Linked DNA regions of Saccharomyces cerevisiae S288C. The gene in region 4 interacts genetically with the main gene of each other region. Each region holds a gene or a part of one and is shown on either strand. Other genes may lie near its edges.

Region 1 (6,193 bases), on a different chromosome or scaffold from region 4:
ACCCGTTCGCATTGCACAACGCCGCGACGATCGCAACAGGGAATCCTGCACACGAAAATGTCTTAAATAACCCATTTTCACGACCAAACTTTGATGAACAAAATACCAATATGCCGCTACAACAACAGATAATAAGTAACCCTTTTCAAAACCAAACGTACAATCAACAACAATTTCAACAACAAAAAATGCCTTTGAGCTCGATCAATAGCGTTATGACAACCCCTACTAGCATGCAGGGATCGATGAATATTCCTCAGCGTTTTGATAAAATGGAATTTCAGGCTCACTACACTCAGAATCATCTCCAACAACAGCAACAACAGCAACAGCAACAACAGCAACAGCAACAACAGCAACCACAACAGGGTTATTATGTGCCTGCAACTGCAGGAGCCAACCCTGTTACAAATATAACTGGGACAGTTCAACCTCAAAATTTCCCTTTCTATCCACAACAGCAACCACAACCGGAACAGTCTCAAACACAGCAACCAGTTTTAGGAAACCAATATGCTAACAACCTCAATTTAATTGATATGTAATATCTAGTATAATCAGGTATGTAAGGGAGTACTCAAGTGCATCTTTGGATAGCTATATATAGTTGTAAGGAAGAGCTATGTAATTTTTGCCATTTTGTACATATTTTGCATTTGTCCTATAGTATGTAATACTTACATCTTACTGTCTTCAATTCCTCCCGCCAACAAAAGATTTCGATAGCGCCGCACCATGGAGTTTATATTGTTATTTCCGAGACGACCTATATAAGGGAAAAGACGAAAACTGGGTATTTGATACTTGTCTAAACTTCAATGGACAAATGATATAAAATACAAACAATGAATAGTAACCGATGCCAAACGAATGAGGTGAATAAATTTATTAGTAGTACAGAAAAGGGGCCTTTTACGGGCAGGGACAATACGCTCTCTTTTAACAAAATCGGGAGCAGACTGAATTCACCACCGATTCTGAAGGATAAAATTGAGCTGAAATTTCTACAACACTCAGAAGATTTGAATCAATCACGGTCCTACGTAAATATTCGTCCTAGAACCTTAGAGGATCAAAGTTACAAATTTGAAGCGCCAAATCTAAATGACAATGAAACTTCTTGGGCCAAGGATTTTAGATATAACTTCCCTAAGAATGTTGAACCGCCCATCGAAAATCAAATCGCGAATCTTAATATAAACAACGGGCTACGGACATCTCAGACAGATTTTCCCTTAGGCTTTTATTCACAGAAAAACTTTAACATTGCTTCCTTCCCTGTGGTTGACCATCAGATATTCAAGACAACAGGTTTAGAACATCCTATCAACAGCCACATTGATTCTTTAATTAATGCTGAATTTTCGGAACTGGAAGCCAGTAGTTTGGAAGAAGATGTCCATACAGAAGAGGAAAATTCAGGTACGAGTCTGGAAGATGAAGAAACTGCCATGAAAGGTTTGGCTTCCGATATAATTGAGTTTTGCGATAATAATAGTGCCAATAAAGATGTAAAAGAAAGACTAAACAGTTCAAAGTTTATGGGGCTGATGGGCAGCATTAGTGATGGTTCTATAGTTTTAAAGAAGGATAACGGTACAGAAAGAAACCTTCAAAAACACGTAGGTTTTTGTTTTCAGAATTCAGGAAACTGGGCTGGTCTTGAGTTCCATGATGTTGAAGACAGAATTGCTTAACGGGCCTTGAAATTTCTTTAATTTAAACCATGAATTTCAGATATATAACACTTTTTAACCACTTTCAAGAGAAAACAGTATTAAATTACATACTGCGTTCACAGCTATACGTAAAAAGAGTGACAAGTGAAGAATAAACGTCATTTTGAAAAAGGAATTAGAAGTCTGTCATTTCAACTGAGTTTTTGACGGAGGAATTATCATTATCGGGTTCTCCAATAAAACTTAGCTTGTTACTACTTCTTTTACTTTTTTTTTCTCGTGTTCGATGTCCACTTTCATCTGTGAGACTATTATTCCCAGCATTGTCTTTCTGGAACTTAGTTGTCGTTTTAAATTTCCTCATGTTTAAACTAGAATCGTCGCCACTATCTTCTGCTTGCCCCCGGTTCGTAATTTTATGTGTACTTTTTTTCTGTTCATGCTGTCTATCGCTTTTATATACAGGATCACATCTGTTATCAGTAATAACATCATTATCGTTTTCTTCTTCTATACCGAGTAATCCGGCCTTGACATCGCTAACAAAGCTCCAAAGCGACCTGGAGACTGATCCTTGCGAAGGAGATTTTTGGCGAGCTCCAGGTGCTTCATTATCGTACTGTTGCGCGGACGACTCGCTATTACTAGTCGGTGTCCCTTCCTGTACCTCAGGCGTACCTGAAAGAGAGTCATCCCAATTCAGAGTTCTTTCAATTTCATGCTGAATGATTTTATCAAACTGATTAAACAGAGCTAATGGTTTGCTCCAAAGTGACTGTTTGGATGAATCTGACGAGTCGTCCCTTTGGCGCCTTTCTTGAATATCTTGCGGAGACACAGATCTTGACTGATTAGTACTTTGATGACCCATGTTCTTTGGTTTACTGACAGAACTAGGAAGGCTGCTGTTACCAGCATTTTCAGTTCGTGATTCCAAAGGTATATTCTGGTAAACCGGTGAAAAAGCCCGGTTTTTAACAGGTGTATTTAGAGAGGGATCCAAATGTTTACTCACTTGCTCCTTGAGTTCATGCAGTTCACGTGCCCGACGAGTATAGTTTTGCTCTTCATGCTGGGTTTGCTTTTTCAAATCTTCAATCTTTTGTTTGCATTCCAGAAGTTCTAACTCTTTTGTAGCGAGAGATTGTAGAAGCGCACTTACATCGACCCCATTTGTTGGTATGGTGGTCGCTATCATACTATTAACCGACTGCGAACTCCCATTTCTAGACCGTCGAAGTCCGCTGGCCATCGCTTGCTCACTAGAAAGTACAGTGGTTGACTCTAATGGGATTCCATAGGATCCCTCAGAATGACTTACTGAAGGTAAGTTGTTTTGAGATTCTGGTGTAGTGGGAACAACCATGGGTTGAATAAGTGATCTTCTCTTGCTCATTGCATTTGGAACTGAGACAGAAGAATGACGAGTTACCACCCTCCTAGCATCTGGCTTGGCTTGTAAGGGATGGTCCTGGTCATTTAATCTGGTAGGCGTCATTAGTCTTTGCGAATGCATGCTTCCCGCACTGGACGTACGATGGTGTTCTAGCCTATATCCATTGGAACTAGCAGAACGAATCTTTCGTCCAGTTTTCCTCACAGGTGACATCGAAATTATACTATTTCGGGTACTGGTGTCCACATCCAAATCCTTCTCATTAGACTCTATAAACTCGTCAAATTTATTCATATCAGTGCCCTAGGAGATAGATTTAATTATCCTCGGATCCATGTAGTGGTAATTGAGAAAAGCACAGTTAGTATTGGCCTTTTTCCTTACCTATTATATTGAACTTTACAACTTGTACCCTTCATCACCTTTGGAATCACGCGGCACGTCTTCTGGGGACTTGGCGACGCGGTTGTTGATAGTAAACTACAAGCAAGCATTCCTTTAAAATACGAAACAATAAGATATAGAAAAGCAACAGGGCTCGTTCTATAAAGTAATTGTTTTGCTTGATTTGTGATACTTACACTTATTAACAAATTCACAGTAATTTTTCAGGAAAAGTTAGAGCCCGTTTGCTTCAATTTGCACCTAGAAAATAACTCAAACATGGCTGGATTCAGCTTCGCCAAGAAATTCACTCACAAGAAACATGGAAAGACGCCTTCTGATGCTTCTATCTCTGACCAATCTAGAGAAGCTTCACTGTCAACTCCTCCAAATGAAAAATTTTTCACAAAACAAGAAACGCCTCAGAAAGGGCGTCAATTTTCACAAGGTTACCATTCTAATGTTAATAAAACTAGTTCACCACCTATGTTTGCCAGAAAACAGGTATCCGAATCAAGGATTCAACCGAGCGCAGTACCACCGCAACAGCGAAATGTCTCAGGACCGTCCACTACTCTCCATAAGCAGCTTTCAAAACAGAGAGAATATACCGTATGGAATAGAATCAAGTTACAGAATTCTCCTTTTCCACGTTATAGACATGTTGCTTCAGCATATGTTACAGACAAGAACCAGATATATGTTATTGGGGGACTTCATGACCAATCTGTGTACGGCGATACATGGATATTAACGGCCTTCGATAATGCCACCAGATTTTCCACTACAACGATAGACATAAGTGAAGCTACACCACCACCAAGGGTAGGCCACGCTGCTGTATTATGCGGGAATGCCTTTGTTGTATTTGGCGGTGACACACACAAAGTCAATAAGGAAGGTTTGATGGACGATGACATATACCTTTTGAATATTAATTCCTATAAATGGACAGTCCCGGCACCCGTGGGACCACGTCCATTGGGAAGGTACGGTCATAAAATTTCGATTATCGCCACAACTCAAATGAAAACAAAACTGTACGTGTTTGGTGGTCAATTTGATGACACCTACTTCAACGACTTGGCTGTTTACGACTTATCTTCTTTTAGAAGACCGGACTCTCATTGGGAATTTTTGAAACCAAGGACCTTTACACCACCACCTATTACCAATTTTACTATGATATCATACGATTCTAAACTATGGGTATTTGGTGGCGATACCTTACAAGGTTTAGTAAATGATGTGTTTATGTACGACCCTGCAATAAATGATTGGTTTATCATTGATACCACGGGTGAAAAGCCTCCTCCAGTTCAAGAACATGCTACTGTAGTCTACAACGATCTGATGTGTGTTGTAGGCGGGAAAGATGAGCATGATGCTTATTTGAACTCCGTGTATTTCCTAAACTTGAAATCGCGTAAATGGTTTAAATTACCTGTATTTACGGCTGGAATTCCGCAAGGCCGTTCTGGGCATTCTTTAACATTATTAAAAAATGATAAAATTTTGATTATGGGAGGAGATAAATTTGATTACGCTAGAGTCGAGGAGTACGACTTGCATACCTCTGATATTGATATGCAAAGAGGTACAATTGTTTATACGCTAGACTTGGCCCGCATAAAGGACCTTTGTCCAGGCGTAATGGATGTTCCAACTGATACGCCAACTCCGAGAAATGGTAATCTTGACCTGGCGACGCCCGTTACCCCAACCTCTCATCAAACTAAAAATATGAACGTACCAATTTCAGCAGCTCCTCTAGCTTCCGCTCCATCACCTGCACCAAAAGATTTTTCAGATGCTGATCGCCTCAACAGGGAGGTACACAATCGAAATGTGTCAACAGAACACCAAAATCAGAGCCACCCAGTAAATTCTGAATCTCACTTGATTGCTGAGCCTAACATTTTGACTCCATATGTTCCATCTGAAAGCTCACAAACGCCGGTTATGAAAATAACTTCCAACAAACCATTTGATACGCCTACTATCCAGAAAGAACCTGATCTTTCTGAAACTATGGATCCAACAGTTGGAAATCAGCGCATCCCATCTTCAATCTATGGAGATAATCTCACCCCTGCAAACCAAATAAAGAATAACTCCCCAATATTAGAGACGCTTCCAAGTAATGAGATAAAAACGCCCCAAAATGGTAATATAGAGGAAATAAAACATCTTCCTGACGCTGATGAAAAAATAGATTCCACGACGACCTTCGACCAAGAGATAAACGGGGACAAACTAGGCACATCTTCGATGTCCAAGGTTGAAGAGGACGGCAATGTTGCTGACGAAGACGACGAAATCGGTGTGGCTCAAATGGCGAGCTCCCCATCCAAAGATCAGTTCAAAATAAAGCATTATAATGAATCTTCAGAATTATCACAGAATAATACGGAGATCGACAAACTGTCCGAGCCTGTGGATATTACAATAAAGAAAAGCGACACCGCGGGCCATGATAGTGCTAACCATGTTATTGATGCAAGTGATGAAAAAAACGTGTCCCCAATGGGAGACGTTCCAACTGATACGAAAAATGAAGAAGCTAGCGTTCCTATAAATAGAGATGCTACTACCGAAGTCGTAGATAGGGCACTATTTGAGAAATTAAGATCGGAATTGCAAAGTTTGAAAGAATTGACGCACGAAAAGGCGCTTGAAGCCGGAGCTCACATAAAGGAATTAGAGACGGAGCTATGGCAGTTAAAATCCCAGA
Region 2 (5,166 bases), on a different chromosome or scaffold from region 4:
AGGTACTCCACACTTACTTGGATCACTCTTGTGATCAATTTAAGATACCTATATGTGTAACCGTATTATGTAATTATGAAGTATAAGTCGTTGAAAGACTTATACTTTTTAGGCGTAATATCAGATGGAATCAAAGAAATTATAGAAAACAGTAGATCAGAGATCCTGCCTTTGGAATTCTGTAATTCAACATATGGAAAAATTGATGCGAAATCACAAGAGTACAGGGATAATTTGGTAATGTATCTCACTAGTTACCATTGTTTTGCTACGCGTACTATCTCGTTTCAATCACCTCTTCTATAATATTACTAAAAAATGTTCATATGTTATATGGCGTACCGATAAAGTTATTGCATTTCTCATGCGATTTTAACTTCCTTTTCAAGTCAAGGATACTTTGTGCAAGCGTAAATCCTTGCTCAATCTCCTCTGCTCAAAATGAAAAAAAAAAAAACGCAGAATCATATGCAGGATGCAATATTGCTTAAATGATTCTATATTTTGCACTTATGTGTGAAGAGTGTAATTTTTGATCTTCCATTTTAATGTTATGCACATAGAGCTGAAATTAAATGCGTCATATATAATTATTATGAGTGAGTGGATTTTGAGATAATTATTGGGAATTCATTATTGCTTGAGATAATATTATTACTTATACAGAATACACTAGAAGTGCTCCTCGGGGACATAGAGATCCATAAAAGGGAATCGATAATTCTACACATTAATCTGTTTTATTTCTTTATCTGTTTTACACGTTTTCATTCATTATCTTATTACAAAATCAGCCCTTGCGCTTCATGTTCCATTATACTCGCAGACTGTTTCTCATCATTTATCTCATCTTTAACTCCATTCAGTATATTATCTTAATAACGCGACTACTAGTAGTGAATAATGGTCAATTTTTACTTCAGAAACTTCCCTTGATTTCATTCATAGATGTTATTTCATTGTCAATTTTTACTCTTACTCACCGATTTGAATGACAGTAAAGAACTTTGCTCAATTAATATTATATTTGTTGTTATCGTCTAACGCTGTAAGTATATGGTACTATCATAAGAACCTCAGTAGTGGAATATGGTTGTTTCTTGTGCTGACATGATTCCGGATGGCCTGTAGGAAAGTATCCAAGATTTTTATTATCAGATACCGGTATGCATTCCATAATGCCAGAGTTTGCGTTCTTACGTCAAAGAACAATGATGCTACGGAGCGCAAGAAAGTGACGTGGCCAACTATCAGCGCGCTAGGATATGTATGCACTGCCGAAAGGCTGAAGCGTATCGTACATTAATTCATAAAGAGAAAGAAATCTCAACCCTGAATTTAGGATAGCGAAGTGCAATAAGAAAAACTTTACCATTGTTTTCAGGATGAATTCTATATCAGCCTGTTTATATAAACAATTTGACAATAGTGCGTAAAGCTAAAAAAGGAAGCATGCCCTTTGTTCCTTATCGGGTGGAGAGGGCCGCACTTAATCTCGAGCGGATATCAGGTACCAAAAGCCTAATTGAAGCAGGCAAATTTTTTTTCCCTATTTTCTTTTATTTGAGTGTGTACATACTAATATAAATTTGATCAAATAATGAATGCGATTAAAAATCAATATTGGCAAATGGAAAAAAATCTAATAGCGGCTAATAGTGAGACTTACATCGCTATAGATTGGTAATTAAACGAATTAAATAATAACAATTGAAAAAAAAAAAACTATCATGAGAGAATATACCAGTAAAAAAGAACTAAAGGAAGAGATTGAAAAAAAATATGAAAAATATGATGCAGAATTTGAAACAATCTCTGAATCTCAAAAAGACGAAAAAGTTGAAACAGTGGATAGAACACCCTCTGAAAACCTCTCTTATCAATTGGGCTGGGTTAATTTATTATTAGAGTGGGAAGCAAAGGAAATTGCTGGGTATAATGTGGAAACTCCTGCGCCTGGTTATAAATGGAACAATTTAGGAGGATTATACCAGTCATTTTATAAAAAATACGGAATCTACTCCATTAAGGAGCAAAGAGCCAAGCTGAGAGAGGCCGTAAACGAGGTCTATAAATGGATATCTACTTTATCTGATGATGAGCTCTTTCAAGCGGGAAATAGAAAATGGGCTACAACTAAAGCTATGTGGCCTGTGTATAAATGGATCCATATCAACACGGTTGCTCCTTTCACAAACTTTAGAGGAAAAATTAGAAAATGGAAGAGACTAGTGCCTGAAGAACAACGCATAAAAAGGAGGAAGATATAATGAGAAAGTTGTATATGGCCGTCTATTTTTTTTCTTGCAGGATTTAGAAACTACCACAGGAAAACCTTTTTTAATATCATATTTTTTGATATTATTATATTTGAGAAATGAATCTCGATTATTATGAGTCAATTTAACAAAACCTCATATAATGTACAGCAGTATAAAGACAAAACTCTCTTACGCTTACCATAGCCTCAATAACATGTCACAATACGAACTTTTTATGTTCTTCCCATATATTTTATTGTACTCTACACACACAGTATTGATCATATAGTTAATTTACCTTACTATACGCTAACCTTTAAAGCAACAAAGATATAGACGATACCATACATGAATGTCGATCAGAGACGTATGGTATAGCTTGTGTCACATTCTGCTATCGTATATGGTATACATGGCACATACTTTAAATTTTAAAGTAATGTCACTTGATTAAGATCTTTCCTATACGTCAAGGTCTCGAGATAAAACTTTATGTCTCAAATAATACATGCTAGGCATATAATGACCCATTTTCTGGAGTTGATGTACTCAAGACATTGGTTAAATATCAATCACGCATGATGATAGTGCGCCCTATTATAACCCATTTTTGTCATCGTCATCACGCTTCATCACCTGAGAAAAGTAACATACAAACTCAACGCCTACTAAGATTAATACATCAAAAACGATATCGTTGCCATGTACGTGCCCTAACTGCAGAAGAGAACTTCAACACTTGGACTAAAATTCACATGAAATTCTCCTAACATTCTAACATCGGTGACATCATTCCAAACCTCTTTGTAAAAGAATATATGAACAACATATGCATTAGAATAACGTGCCGTTAATTTTGCTCGAATTAACTTACCCCAGACTTGACAAAAATCTAAAAACTAACTACTCAGAAACACAAGCAAGCCTTGTGCATAAGAAAGATGTAAATCCATAGCATCAGCAGTTTCGAACTTGATACACCTCCAATTATTGCTTCATAAAGAATACATCTCCGTCTGGTAATGCGATGGCCCCGGTTTAGAGTACCCTTCTTGCGCAAGGTACTTGTGTGATAAGTAGCGCATTTTTTGCACATCACGTATGCTACTTTTGTATTCTTCACTAGCAGGCACTACAGTTGAAATAGAATTGAAGCTTGAAGTGTCGTATGGGTTATTCCGATTAGTTCACCTATTCGCATATTACGATTTTATAATCAGAGTGATATCAATGAGTATTATAACCTTTAAGTCATTGTGCTTATGCTATCTATAAACGTCCAGCGGCACATAATTCATCTATTTATGCAATTCCTACAATAAATGTTGATATCTTCATGGAAATTTCTTAAGCACAAACTTGTATTTAATATCCTGCATAAAGAAAACAGACATCTAGAAAACTTTCATAATTTTCAAAATAATCTTCCTTTATACACACTCTAGCGACCTGGGTTTACATTTCCGTGTATGATTGCTTTATATAATAGGACAATAAAGGAAAGTCGCTAGAAGAGAATATTATAGAAAGCTAAAGTGTTTAGAAACAGATGACTTAGAAGCACCTCTGTAATGTGGAGACAATGGTCTCAAGTTGGCGCATACATCAGTTTGCCACAGCGACAGAAGTATAACCGATTAACTCAACATGAAGGATCCTAGAATATACCGCAAGATTCGATTATCGATCGTCTACTACATCATAGTAGCAGTTAATATTACTAAAATACATGCATCTTTTGTATGATACATGATCAATATATATGATTATATTACTTCTTTCAGTTTAGCATTTTAAGGATATTAGCACCACAGGCAGAATCCCACTTTTTCAGTCTCTCATACTCTCTCAGTTTGATTGAGATTTAACAATATCAGCACATTTTAGAAGATGCTACAGTCAAATACCGCCTCATCTAAAGCATGTTCTACATATATCACAACGTCACGTTGAATAAGGCCATGTGACACGGGTTTCTGCCGGTCGACATTCCAAGCATTGTATTACAATCTTCTTTCATTATGACATACTATTGCATTTTCTAGGGAATATTCAAAGCTTGTCCATACCGAATATAAGCGATCACGTTTTGATTACCATTTTTTTTTTTACCTACTCTGTCTTTAATATTAGAACTATACATGGGTAAGATTGGTAGATGATAGTATATACCTATAATTACAGTTTCATAGAATGGAACTTTTAAATTTTATTCTAACTTTTATGAAATACCTTAAAGCGCAAAATACAGGCTGACAGGATAACCACAATGTCTCAAATCCCACCTGCATTAGCTATTTTTAATAATCAGTTCATTATTTCCATTTTCATGTATACGGTTACTATGCAATTAATGGTAATGCATATTCATTGGCGAAGGCAGATATCTCCAAAAGTTCATTCAGCACGAAAAAATGCACCGCACGCATCAAATGATGTTTTGAATTTTAGCACTTATGTTTAAAGACTATTCGTTGATAATCCATTGTTTCCACTATTTTCAAAATCTTACCAAATGACAGCTGAACTTGCCGGAAAGCAGGGTTTTTGTAAAAGTAATACCGTTCCTTGCAATTGCATACAGGCCATGAGTACTAAAAATACTGTGGTCATTTTATGCAATCACTAGACACTCAAGAAACTGTAGAAAAAGATATCAGCAGAATACAAAAAATCTTTAACGAATGATTGTATTGGAGATTTGGAGTCTTAAATAGCTATGTGGCATTTAATTGAGTCTATTGCATAGTTCCTTTGATTTTATGTACGCCCTCGCCACTATATTTCAATGATATAGTGATTCAACTTATAGAGTACATATCTGCTTAGGAGCAACATACTTGAATCATTTTTGTTAGCTACATTCCTTAAATGGTCGCTAGGGAGAGAATTTCTAAGCTATTCA
Region 3 (6,303 bases), on a different chromosome or scaffold from region 4:
TACCTTGATATGCGGGCGATTTTGCGGGATTTCTGACATCTAATAACTTAGTAGTCATTGAAGGAACAAAGTTTTAGTCTTATTCGGATGTTTCCCTTCTTATTTTCGAAATGAAGCTTTTTGGAGAGATGGGGATAGGTGGCTTTTTGTGCCTTCCTCGAATGTCTAGCCGAGTCTTGCGATGGAAGGGCTAGACAGCATGTTTTAGAGATGTAGTAAGTTATATTATAATCATATTATAATTGCCTAAATATAGACGTATATCATATACAATAGCAAAAATACATAATTACGAACATAAAAATGAAAATAACTTTGGTCAAACAGCGTGAGCTGTCAAACGTATAAATCTTAAAAAACGTGTATTAAGTATGAGCTAAGAAGGCGCTCATCAATAGAAAACCGGATTAAAAACATCGAAAATTATTGAAAAAATATTAAGTGTAGTGTGGAAATGAATGAGTAGAAAAAAGATAAATTAGAAAACAGAACATCAACTTCGTAAATAGTAAAACGCTAAGCCAGACTAGGTAGAACTGACTTTGCATACCTCTCTTGGCGGCAGTAAGCAGATTAGCTGATTTAAATCACTGCAAGTAAGGAACATCGCTCTTGTTTCTGTTCATGACTGTTCTATGAGCACCAAAGTAGAAAACGAAAATGAAAGCGAAAATACTCAAAAAAATCTCTAAATCTTGCATTGTAGTGTGTACTGTGTAGTAAAGCTATTGTTTGTTTTTATTATTTCTATGTAGAATTCTGTAAAAGGACGAAAAGAATGTTTCCAAGCAGTATGTCTACCTCTGTCGTTGTAGAAGGGATTCCTACTTCTTTATATACAAAATGCACATCGGTAGAAATATCTAATTCTCTATTTAATTGAATGCATAAGGGGTACCAAAAAATCTCTCTTCACGTCTTATAGCTGAACAGTTATCGGATATAGGCTACCACATAAAAGAACAGGGATGTCCTAATACAGCAATCATTTTTTTTTTCATTACGTAAAAAGTAAAGTAAACCATCCATTCTCCCTTCTTTCAGTCAAATGCCGCAGTCCCTTACATTTCAAACTGAAGCGTCGGGATGAGACTGTAGAAAGAAGTAGGAGTAGTATGCAAAAAAAAAAAAAAAAAAAAAATATAACCTCTGCCGGAAGTGAAGGCACAAAAATAGCTCTCTCTAAATGGGCGGTGGAAGGGTGTTCAAAAGTAAAGAAATATAGGCGCACTTCTGAAGTCATCGTAGGTGAATAAGCAAGTCTTTATCGGCATGTTCGGGGTTTTTTTTACCAATGACGATTTCTGTCACTTAACTTTTTAGGCCTTCCGTGGTCGTGTCATAGCAACCCCTAGTTTTCTCTTCACATTTTGTCGCGTTTCCGTCGCACAGTAAGAGCTGTATAGCGTTGAATGAATGTAAAAAATGCTCACTGAAGGACGGTAGCCTTTACCAGTCTTTTACGTGCCGAATGCACATTTGTATATACGCCCACACACATCGAAGATCGGCTCCCGATTTCTTGTGAGATATTTATCTGTTTATTTGCTTATTTGTGATTTATGTATATTTACTTGAAATATTCTAGCATGTTTTAGAGTTATTTATCGGAGTTCGGTCCCAATCATGAGAGTAACTCAGGCCAAGATCTAGCAAGTCATTTTGCTTTTTATGTCCATTCTTCATCTCCTTCCTTCTGGTTGCCTTCATGCTGCCGCCGCGAAGGGATCGTTAAAGCCATCCATTACAACATCCACCTTATAATTATTCCCGTTGTTGTTGTCCCAGTACTCTTCGCGCTCATAGTCGTTACGTGTAGAATAATGAATGCAAAATTCTAACTTGCCGCGAGGATCCACTTTGCTGACATCATCGATAATGAAGTGGAAAATGTCCATGTTAGTGCCCGGCAATATTCCATCGCCATCACTGATGTAAACGCATTCCACTTCATGTGTTGTTCTCCAACTATCCCACGTATATCGTACCACCACTCTTTTATCATAGAAAATGTTTTTCACTAGTATCCTTCCAGCAATTAATCTTGTACAGCCAGCGTTATAACCCTTGGCCACACCATTACAGTCATTACCATTGTGGCTATTGGGAATATTATAAAATGAGGAGGAATTTGAAAAGTAATTGTTGTCTCTATGGATGTATAATGACAATTCTTGTAGAAAAACTTTCTTATTTTGTGATAAATTGATAAAAATGTTCAGCTTTAAACTTTTAGGATTCTTGTTGCTTAAAATGGGGAAGTTCTTGCTGTATAATCCAACAACATGGTAATTTTTTGAATTACGATCTGAAATTTCATGAGCACCGCCACCATTAACGAATTTTTTATTTGATTTTGATGGTGGCATGTCGGTCCTGTTCTTTAGGAGGTTCTGAAATCTTTTACTTTTTCTTAATTTTGTATTGTTGGTGCCTTTACCATTGTTTGGATTCGAAATTTTAGCAGGATGTGCGAAGCCTTTTGGCGCAACTGTCGTCAAGTCATCATCTATGGATGTCGTTTCTAATCCAGATGATAGCATTTTTGTCTCTTCTTCCGGGTCCACCATTAAATTCACTGGCTTATGCTTAAAGCTTAGACAATTATCGTGTTGTTCAGTTTTATTAACGTTTATAGGGCTTTCATCCTCAGCAAAATATTTTACAGGTGCCGCCTGATCAAAGTGAACACTCTTACTCCTAATCAACATCGGACTACCGTCTCTTGCTTGGACACCATTCCCGCTCCTTATACCTGGGGTTGTAGGTAATGATTTTGATCTTCTCTTCAATGAGCTCTTCAATAGTTCACCTGACTTTTTATATACAGGTGGCGCAAATGGAATTAGAATTTCTTCATCATATTCAAAATTCATATCATTGCCAGGTGACTTAGCTTCGGGATATTCTGCTTGAAAAGATTTTGGTACGGTGGATTTGGGGGAAAGGGGAGGCAGCTCTATTTTGAATGGGGGTCTCGTACTGCCATTTAATGATTCTACGGAAGTGTGATTCTTGGCAGCGGCAATTTTTGACCAGCCGCTCTCATTATCAACGTTTTCATCATTCCCTGCGGAGAAAATTCTTTTGTTTAAATCAGTGTTTCTTTGCACTTCTTCCTCTGGGAACCTGTTCGCTCTCATTTGAGTTACTCTCTGAGGTTTATGTAAAAACTTCAAAGAGTTTAAAGTCTCTTCCGTACTTCCATCTCGTTCTTTGTTGTATAGGTCCGAATTCACTCTGTAACCCTTGAAATCTGTTTCAAGATCTGGTAGCTGCTGGTTTTTATTTCTGTCTAGTTTTTCATTCTTCCTCTCAAACTGTTGGGGTTTCTGTTCTGCCTTTATATACATTGTTGCGTTGATGAAATCCTAATAAACTTGGGCTGTAAGAATAAAATTTTGACAAGATATCTGTACCCGTTCCTATTAAACTTGTTTCTGAGTACAACGGAGATCTTTTTGATGTTCAGCCTACTAAAAACTATACCTTACAGAAAGAAAAAAAAAAGTCCAATGTGGTTCCTTTCTCCTCAATCAAACAGAATGCCAACCTTCCTTGTTTCTTTTCCTTTTTTACTACTAAAAGGTTTTATAAACCAGACTTCTCTCTTTAAACGTCCCGTCAACCCTGCCTTTAGTAACTGCTTTCCCGTCTAGCTTTCTTTTCGTTCCTATTGTTTTAACCGTATTGTATGCAGGTTTACCTTCTATAAATATGCACTGAACTGGAAAGGCTATGTTTGAAAAGCTTTAGTTTTCTTCTGTTGAACGGATGGGCCCTGTGTTGCTTATTACGCAATGCAGTATATATAAAGGAACTCAACCTGAAGAAGAATATGCAAGATATAGAAAGACCGTTGCAATATCGAAATATTTCCTGTTGGATAGAACGAACTTCTTGGCCCCTTCATTGAGAAGCGTAGCTGATACACATTTTTGGTAAAAGACCTCATGGTAGCAGCCCCTTTCCCCTTAAAAAGACTTAATATGGCATACTGTTTTTCTTTTATGCGCTTCATTCCACGGCAAAAAGAACCTTTCCCCGCCCCCACTCTGCGACAGGAGTTTGCCGCCCATCTCCACAATAGGCATAGTTGTCGGTACCTTCCAGCGCTACGTCAGCCTCTTCCGGGCAAAAAATCGACGTAGCATGGAAAAATGCATTCTAGACAGCTTTATGCGTTACGATCCCCAATCTATGCTCCCTGGGGAGAGTTTGTACAGGTTTTCTCCAAAATAAAAATACCTACAAAACTCCGAATATTTATGGGTAGCTCCAGTTTTCGAAAATTGGAGAAATGAAGGGGGTTGAAGAAGAAGGTTTCATGAGCATGAAGACGGTAGTAAAGCTGACAAATATGCTACGAAGATTTAACTTCCTGGGGAAGTAGCAAAAAAAAAGAAAAAATATTCACAGAGATAACCTCAAAACACACTTGGGAAGTCATGAGGGGTAACTTAGAATAAGATAGAACTCTATCAAATTATTGCCTATAAAAAATACAAAATTAATCGGGATTTGGCTTCCCTTTTTCTGTTCTATCTTATACACGACAATTAGAAATTTCGAAAACCATGATATCAGATGCGCCGAGTCTTTTCAATTCATCTAAAACAACACCCTTCGTTTTTCTCTCAATCATGGAACTAACAGCAACCCATCCTTCATCGTCAATTTTGGAAATGGTTGGTGCTCTACGGCCAGGCGTCACCTTCAACAGTTCAGGCAGCTTGTCTTCAGGTGCGTTATAAATACATGAAACGAACCTTTGAGCGGTCATGACACCTTCAATTCTTGATTTGATAGTAGCAATCAAACTCTTATCGCTCTTTGGGTTCTTTGATTCTATTAGGTAGGCACTTGTGCTTAGGACGGTGGCAATATCAACTAAACCTGCTGCCCTCATTGTCTCACCACTCTCTACAAGATCTACAATAGCATCACCAATTCCCAGAGCACATGATGCCTCCACGGAACCACTGACAAACTTTATCCTTGTGGTCATTTTTTCAACAGTAGTACCTTCCAAATCGGCAAAGTATTTTTCAGCAAGTTTCACGAAACTGGTAACAATGGTTTTGCCAATTAACTGTTCTGGCTTTTTATACTCGCCATTTACGGGGACTTGTACCTGCAATTTACAGTTACCAAATTGCAAATCGATTGCTAAGTCTACGTCGACGTTAGATTCACGAACTTGGTCAACACCAGTTATACCAAGATCACATTTACCTTCACCAACAAAAGTTGGAATATCTGCAGCGGGCAGAAAGACCAACGCTACAGGTAAGCTTGTGCTTAGTGCAATGTCTAATCTTTGAGAGCGGTGAAAGGTAATATCAGCACCATTCAAAATAGAAACACTTTTAGAATATAAACGACCTTTCTTTGGGATTGCAAACAGTAGTCTATCGGTTAGATGGTTCACCAAATCCATTTTTCTATTGAATTTTTTAGAAACCTATCCTTTCTTTTCTATTTTCAAAGATTCAAACCGTTAATAGGAGTAAAATGCCAAAGTTTAGACGGTAAATACTTGCAGTTCACTGCGTATAAATGGACTTTCAGGCGAGTATATTCTGCAAAAATATTTTATAAGTTCCAACGGTAGAGGTGACTCACTTGGAAGCTTTTTTTTTCAATCGTTGGCTACGTGCGTACACGTGTTTTGCGGTCTCGCTTCGAAATGCCGAAATGAAAGAATTTCCGGGAAGAGTCACGCTGTTATCAATGACTTTGCAACTAATAAATTAACTAATAAATATTTTAATTAATTTTTTGACAAGGAGTCTAATACCTCGCATGCTAAACAACCTCTCTAGCCGGGTTGCCGGGTTACATCTCGTTCTCTTTACGTTCACATAGTCACATAACCACTAGTCACCTGTGCATTCTTACTTTTTTTTTTTCTTTTTGGCTTTTATTGTAAGACTGATATGCAGGCCACAAAGTCTCAATTAGGTCGCAGCCGTGCAAATTGTCTTGGCATTTTTGAAGTTTTGTATATACCATAGAGATTATCTTTGATATGTTACTAATATTGTAAAATACAGTTTGTAGCTATTTTTATTAAATGAGATGTCTAAATAGTTTACATGAAATTGCATCTATGATACATGACGTGAAATGTGCACGGGGAAATGATCGCCCTAATCATTACTTCCTAACGACCGAAGTATTTTAATTCTAAAGGTCTTAAGATGTTGTAGATGATGAAGGCCCAACTTGCACCCAACTCGAACCCAATGTCACCACCATATTTACCAATTAAGCGGCCAATTTCACCAACCCAATAGGTTT
Region 4 (6,115 bases):
CCTTTGGTTTATTTTCTGTAATGCTTCCGAATAGTGATCCTCCTGAATTATTAAGACTTATTGGCGTTACATGAATCCAACGTCTACTTACAGAAGAAAGTAGAGCCCTAGAAATGACACCGACCTGAGATATTCTTGCCGTGTGGAAGTTCATTTTCTTTAATAAAAAAGATAGGGTGAGGTGAGGTTCTCTGACTTGCTATGCGGCTCCTAATGGCGTATGTTAAAATGCCTTCCAGATTGGATAGTTGACTTTTATTCAAAATCCCGAGTACAGTGAAGGCTTAGTTACCCCGCCCACAGAAGATTAATAGAATATCATGAGTACTGTTCAAGCAGCAAGCAGGAGAAAAGACTGAAAGAGTTTCGTATAATTTAGTATTTATTTATTTAGGAGAACTAAAATATTTTCTTTATACACAAAGAACAAAGTTTTCTTTTTTTTTCATTGCAGAATGGTATCATTGTTTTTTATGCCTTTTAAAAGGCCTTGTCGTTCTTCACTATTGGCAATAAAGATGTTTTTATGATTTTTAATAGTAGTGTTATTCAGCAAGAGCTGATTTTGCTTAATTAGTAAACATCATACTAATAGACTGAAGTCATCGTCATATAATTTCCCTCAAGAACCCTTGTGAATTGTTCTGAACTGTATTTCTCTCATCATGAGAGATGTCATTATCTAAACCACGTCCGAGTCGTATCGAATTTGAAGATAAAGTAGAAAAGCCACCTTGAGTAGATGAACCCAATGACGAATATGTAAATGAAGAGCCATAGGAAAATCTGTTTTCCTGGTCCATGAAATTACTCCGCATATTTTGAAAGGAGCCATTCATTGCGGTAACATTCCTTGGTGGTGGCACTGGAGGAGGATTTCCTCTTGCCTTAAAATTGAATTCGTTGCTGAACGGATTATTAGCAGAAGCAGTCTCGGTGTTTCGTTGCTGTGATCCCGAGTCTTGAGCTTGAAGTGACGCCTCTTTTGCTTGGGCAGTTGTTGGGAATCCCGTTCTGCGCCCAATCTCGTGACAGAAGGAATCGTTTTCCTTGAAATGCCTCTTTGCCTTCCTTTTTCTAACCAGCATGAACCAAACTACTAGTACACATATAAGAATACCACCGACGCTTCCTACCACACTTCCAACAATGGTACCAGTATTTGTCTTTGAAGTGCCTTGGTTTTTGTTATTATCCAAACTGCCATCAAGCCAGTGCTGATAGAAAGACATGTCAGCTGTGATCGTCGAAGATGGAGCGGAAAATGAGGTTACCTCACTTTTTGCAACTGCTATGGTCGTAGGTAATCCCGTCACGAACGTTGTAGAGGAGTCAGTAATATCATATGTTTGGGTATAGAAATAATAAATAGTTTTTGAATCTTCGGAGCTTGAAATGGCTACCGTATTGAAGACCTGACTGGATGTTGGTATGGGAGACGTAGAAATCGTACTAGTGCTGGGTGTTTGAGTGGTGGGTGGTATACTGCTGCTAGTAGTAGATTGTAAGGACTGAAAAGTATACGTGCTTGAGTAAGCACTTGTTGTATCATCTGATGATGATGATGATGAAGGACGGTTTGAAGGTACTTTACTGCTGGATGAGCTAACAGAACTTGACGTTGGCACGGAAATCGTGCTTATGGAAACTGTCGAAGATGAAGCTGATGGACTGAGTTTCGATGATTTGCTTATGGTTGAAAAATCGTTCGTCGATGAAAGCGATGAACTGTAAAACGATGTGGAAGTATTCCGACTGGAACTTGGGAATGTGGTATCTTTATTTGATATCGTAGAAGGAGAAGAAATTGTTGAGAACCAACTAGAAGAGAGTTCTGAAGTGGTACTAATTTGAAATGAAGTTGCAGATATGGAAGACAAGTATGTGTAACTAGGGGATATTACGGTGGGTGTTGATGGTGAGAAAATAGAAGATCTGCTGTCGAACGAAAACAATTTAGTGTCTGAATATGATGAAGATAGTGATAATGACAACGAGGACGATACCAGTAACGAAGATGGTGATGATAACGACGACCATGATGATGACAGCGATGTAGCTGATGACGATAACGTTGGTGTTGTTGATGTTAACGATGACCATTCCGACGTTATTGACGACGATGATGACATTGGTGACGTCGATGAGAAAATGGACATGGATGGTGTAATTATTGAGTATGAGGAGGTAGCTGGGTCATATTGGGAACTATACGTATCTTGCTCGCTCGATGAACTGCTGTCGGTAGATGATACTAAAGTACTTGTCGAAGATACATCAATGGATGTATGCAAAGTCTCATCATATGTTAAGCTTGTAGAATAATATGTAGGAGTAGCTGTACTAGACACGGGCGGTAATGAGGTCAGACTTCCTTGTTGGGGTACTAAAGTTGAAGTAGATGCGAAGACAACATCCGTTGATCGTGAATTCAGACTGCTACTTGGTTCACTGAATGACAGGGATATCGTATCAGATTCTCCAAGGGTGGTCCTTCCGATGGTACTATTGGAGTTCATACGATGGCCAAAATAATTACTCTATCCAGCTTTTCTTTTAGATTTCCTTCAGATATCGACGGATGGGGATTGAAATACTAAATGTGTGTCTTAAGCGAAAGTGTGCCAACAACCAGTCCAAAAAACGGATCAGTAGTGTTTCGGTACCTGGTGAGTAGTTTAGGATTTTATGAGTGTACGGCGATTATCAGTGTATTACTAATATGCGAACCGCTCCTAAAGATCTTGTTTACCTCATTTCTTTCTTCTTTTTTTTTTTTTTTTCCGTGCGTTCTCCCCGTGCCTTGATAAGCAATAATGGAAAAAATAAAAATAGCAGCAATTGGTTATACAATGTATATATAAAACATGAATGATTGAATAATTTACAAGCGAAATAATCGCATTATATACGTGGCACCTACAGTCAGTTCACGCTGATTAGTCAAACTTCACTTTCTTACCTTGTGATGGGACAATAGCTGCAGAACCTCTCTGAGCAGTGGCTAAAGCTACACTGCTCTTAGTTCGGTTATTGGAATCTACAGGTGGACGTCTGTTGGCGTTGGACCGCTTGTATTCGGGTTTGCTGCCGTTATCCTGTCCCGCACGATCGTATCCTTTGTTGTTAGAGATATCAAATGATGAGGAATTGTTTCTGGATACATTTTCAACCTTCTTACGAACTTGTCTTTTACTTCTATCTTCACCGTATTCCATTCGCAATGGCCTTCCGGCAATTTTTCTACAACTTTTATCCTTTAATGCATTAGTAGATCCTTCTTCATTCTTGAAGTCGATAAATGCGAATCCTTTACATTTACCACTATCTTCGAATGTTGCCATGCGGATTTTCACGATATCACCACAATGTTGGAAGTGTTTTCTTAACAGATCATCTGTGACATCGAATGACAAATTACCGACAAATAGAATCCTTGACGGTGGATTTTTGGACATGGCAACTAAATCGTCCTTGTCTGGCCTACCTGAATAATTTTCGGAGTCCTTGATTAGCATATTCCTTCCGTTTAAATGAGATTCAGATAATTCTAAGACCGCTTTCATCTGCTCGACGTTCTTGAAAAACATGTAGCAAAATCCCTTATTTTTCATGGCGTTAGAGTTCTTGGCAGCAACACGAGGCATGGATAACCTGGTTATGTCTTGTTCGGTGACTCTGCTCTTTTCATCTTCGTTGTCTTTTGTTTTAGCAATAAAAAATCTTACTAAATCGTCCTTTGTGGTGTCGAAGGATAAGTTACCAATCCAAACACCATATTTATTTTCATCTTTCTTCTTCTTTTTTACAACCTCGCCAGATTCATCTCCTGTTGGAGTGTTGATTGTAGATTCTTCACCCTGGGCGTCTTTCTCAGAAGCACCAGACTTTTTCTTTTCAGCATCTTCTTTGTATTCCTCGATTGACTTAGGGTCGATATTGTACTTCGCATTCAACTCCTCTAGAGTAACTTTACCTCTTCTCAAGAGACGTTTCTGTTTTTTTGATAGGGGAATGGAGCTTTTCAGGTCAATCTCAATTTCATCTTCAGCTTTTCTCTTTTTTGTTGGATCGAGTAAAGCCTTCTTGACTTGTTCCTCGTTATCCTTTTTTGTAACAGCATCTTCTTTCGACAGTTCTGTTTCTGACATTCTATCTCAAATTATAGAAAGTTGTTGGGTTTAGGTAATGTTCTGTGGGGAAAAGGATTTCTCTTTGTTGTATGGTTAAATTTATCATCTATGCTCATCGCAATTTTTTCTTTCAGACTGAAAAATTTCAGGTTTTTGCATTTCAACGGGAAACGTGACTCCTACAGAATTTTCTGAGCAAAGGCGTACAAGCGAAATACAAAGACAAGCATGTGCTTTCGGCAAAAGTGCGATCCTACATCAGAGTTTACATACAACATGGTATTGTTATTAATACATAATTAGGTTTTACATAGTTAGGTATGGCGAGTACGTCATATATTTAGGTATTCTCCTGATTGTTTTCACTTCAAAAGCTGGGCCAACTTTTTAAAGAACCCTCCATTCTTAGCAGGGTTCTTTTGGACACCTTTATTTGGTGTTTCTTTCGTGCCCTTAGGTTTCGAAGGTCTAGTAGCTTTCTTAGCTTCGATTTTTTTTGCGGCAGCGGTAGGAGCGCCCTGTTTCGTCTCGTAAGTTTGAGTCTCAGTCGCAACCTTGCCGGTTGGTTTCACAGAAGTCTCTTTAGCATGGCTTGTAATTGAGCTTACAGGTACTTTTTCTTCCGGTTTTTCAAATTTAGCGGATTTACTTAATGGTTCCTTATTTTGATCTTCTGAAGCTTCAGCGTCTGCACTTGTACTGGTGTCCTTACCGCCGCCTTTATCTTCGTCCTCTTCCTCTTCTTCCTTTTCAAGATCTTCGGCCGATAGTTCATATAATCTAGACTCAGAAGATTGCGTCTTACCCAAACCGTCCGTAACATATCCTTCACTCTTAACTAGATTAACTTTGGGGTGATTCTCTTCATACGGCTTGATTGCTTTTTCCTCGTTTACACCAACATTATTCTCAATTATCGTTGTAGTACCGCTTAAGCCATCCGCATTCTTGCCCGTTTTGTTCACCTGCTGGGTTTCATCCTCGCTATCGGGCAATTCAACCACTTCTTGGGAAAATATCGACCTTTCTCCGGTTTGTTTATTTGTCTTGATCACTCTCTTGATCTTGAACTTTCTTAATTTTTTTGCACGTTTTTCAGCTTCTGGTTCGATAAGAGGGGCATTCTTTGAAACAGCTAATCCGGCACTTTCAGGTACCAGCGTGCTAGAGCCATTTTCGCGTTGCTTTATTACGTCTTCCTCGGTAATAAAGTTGTTTTCCACTCCCTCGTCGATGTTCACCTTGTAGTCTTTGCTTGGCAGCCATTGGCCATCAACAATAAACTTGAAATAAAACTTGCTGCTAGGGCTATCAAACGTTACTGGCAGCGTTATTTCGAAGGCGCCACTGGGGTCCTTCACCATCGGCAAAGTACCTTTCCAGTCGTCGAACGTGCCTGTCAGAATAATTGCTTCGGGTCCTTTGGGCCATTTGAACGTAAATTGAGGTAAGCTCGATTGCATTCTAGAAACACTTTCCCTTTAATATTATCTTATAATGCTTAGAAAGTTAAATACCATCAAGAGAAAGAAAATTAGGTAATACAGAGGACAGAAGGACAGAAGTCGTTTCTATATTACATAAAAATCGGCCACCTTTTATTTTTTTAAACCACAAGAGAGGGGGAGAATGATGGATGTAAAACCTTAACCATGTCAATGCAAGGGCTCCCGCCCCAAAAGTTCCTATCGGGCCCCTTCGCTTCGCTGCCCCAGATATTTGCGGAAAAGGCCAGCCTCGCAGTATTTCACCAATGCCCTTACTTTGATAGTATGTATTTTGACTACTTTTTTTCATTTTTATCGCTTCTTTTTACTTTGTGCGGTGTAAACCCTACACAAAATAGGGCTTTCATTTAGTATTTACATTTGCACAAAAGTAGAGAAGATACGTAATAGTCATTGAAAGCATCGACATTTTTGGTGCTTGCTGACAAATTCACGGTGACAAAGTGAGCTAGAATATTGCTTATCGATAATCAG

The links.
Region 1: mutations in NOP13 (region 4) and TDA11 together harm fitness more than expected from each alone (negative genetic interaction), as found in Saccharomyces cerevisiae (one large-scale study listed by BioGRID).
Region 2: mutations in NOP13 (region 4) and IRC4 together harm fitness more than expected from each alone (negative genetic interaction), as found in Saccharomyces cerevisiae (one large-scale study listed by BioGRID).
Region 3: mutations in NOP13 (region 4) and GIP2 together harm fitness more than expected from each alone (negative genetic interaction), as found in Saccharomyces cerevisiae (one large-scale study listed by BioGRID).

What each region holds. Positions count from the first base shown.
Region 1 is NC_001140.6:414,725-420,917, reverse strand, and holds TDA11 (Tda11p), read right to left. Parts: upstream 3,370-6,193; coding exon 1,855-3,369; downstream 1-1,854. Other genes in the region: YAP1801 (Yap1801p), read left to right, coding at 1-545; PEX18 (Pex18p), read left to right, coding at 846-1,697; KEL1 (Kel1p), read left to right, coding at 3,739-6,193.
Region 2 is NC_001136.10:1,514,240-1,519,405, reverse strand, and holds IRC4 (Irc4p), read left to right. Parts: upstream 1-1,730; coding exon 1,731-2,270; downstream 2,271-5,166.
Region 3 is NC_001137.3:260,346-266,648, forward strand, and holds GIP2 (Gip2p), read right to left. Parts: upstream 3,354-6,303; coding exon 1,707-3,353; downstream 1-1,706. Other genes in the region: YER053C-A (uncharacterized protein), read right to left, coding at 588-701; HIS1 (ATP phosphoribosyltransferase), read right to left, coding at 4,547-5,440; FCY2 (purine-cytosine permease), read right to left, coding at 6,167-6,303.
Region 4 is NC_001146.8:304,462-310,576, forward strand, and holds NOP13 (Nop13p), read right to left. Parts: upstream 4,152-6,115; coding exon 2,940-4,151; downstream 1-2,939. Other genes in the region: mitochondrial 54S ribosomal protein uL22m MRPL22, read right to left, coding at 1-154; TDA7 (Tda7p), read right to left, coding at 609-2,519; MDG1 (Mdg1p), read right to left, coding at 4,496-5,596.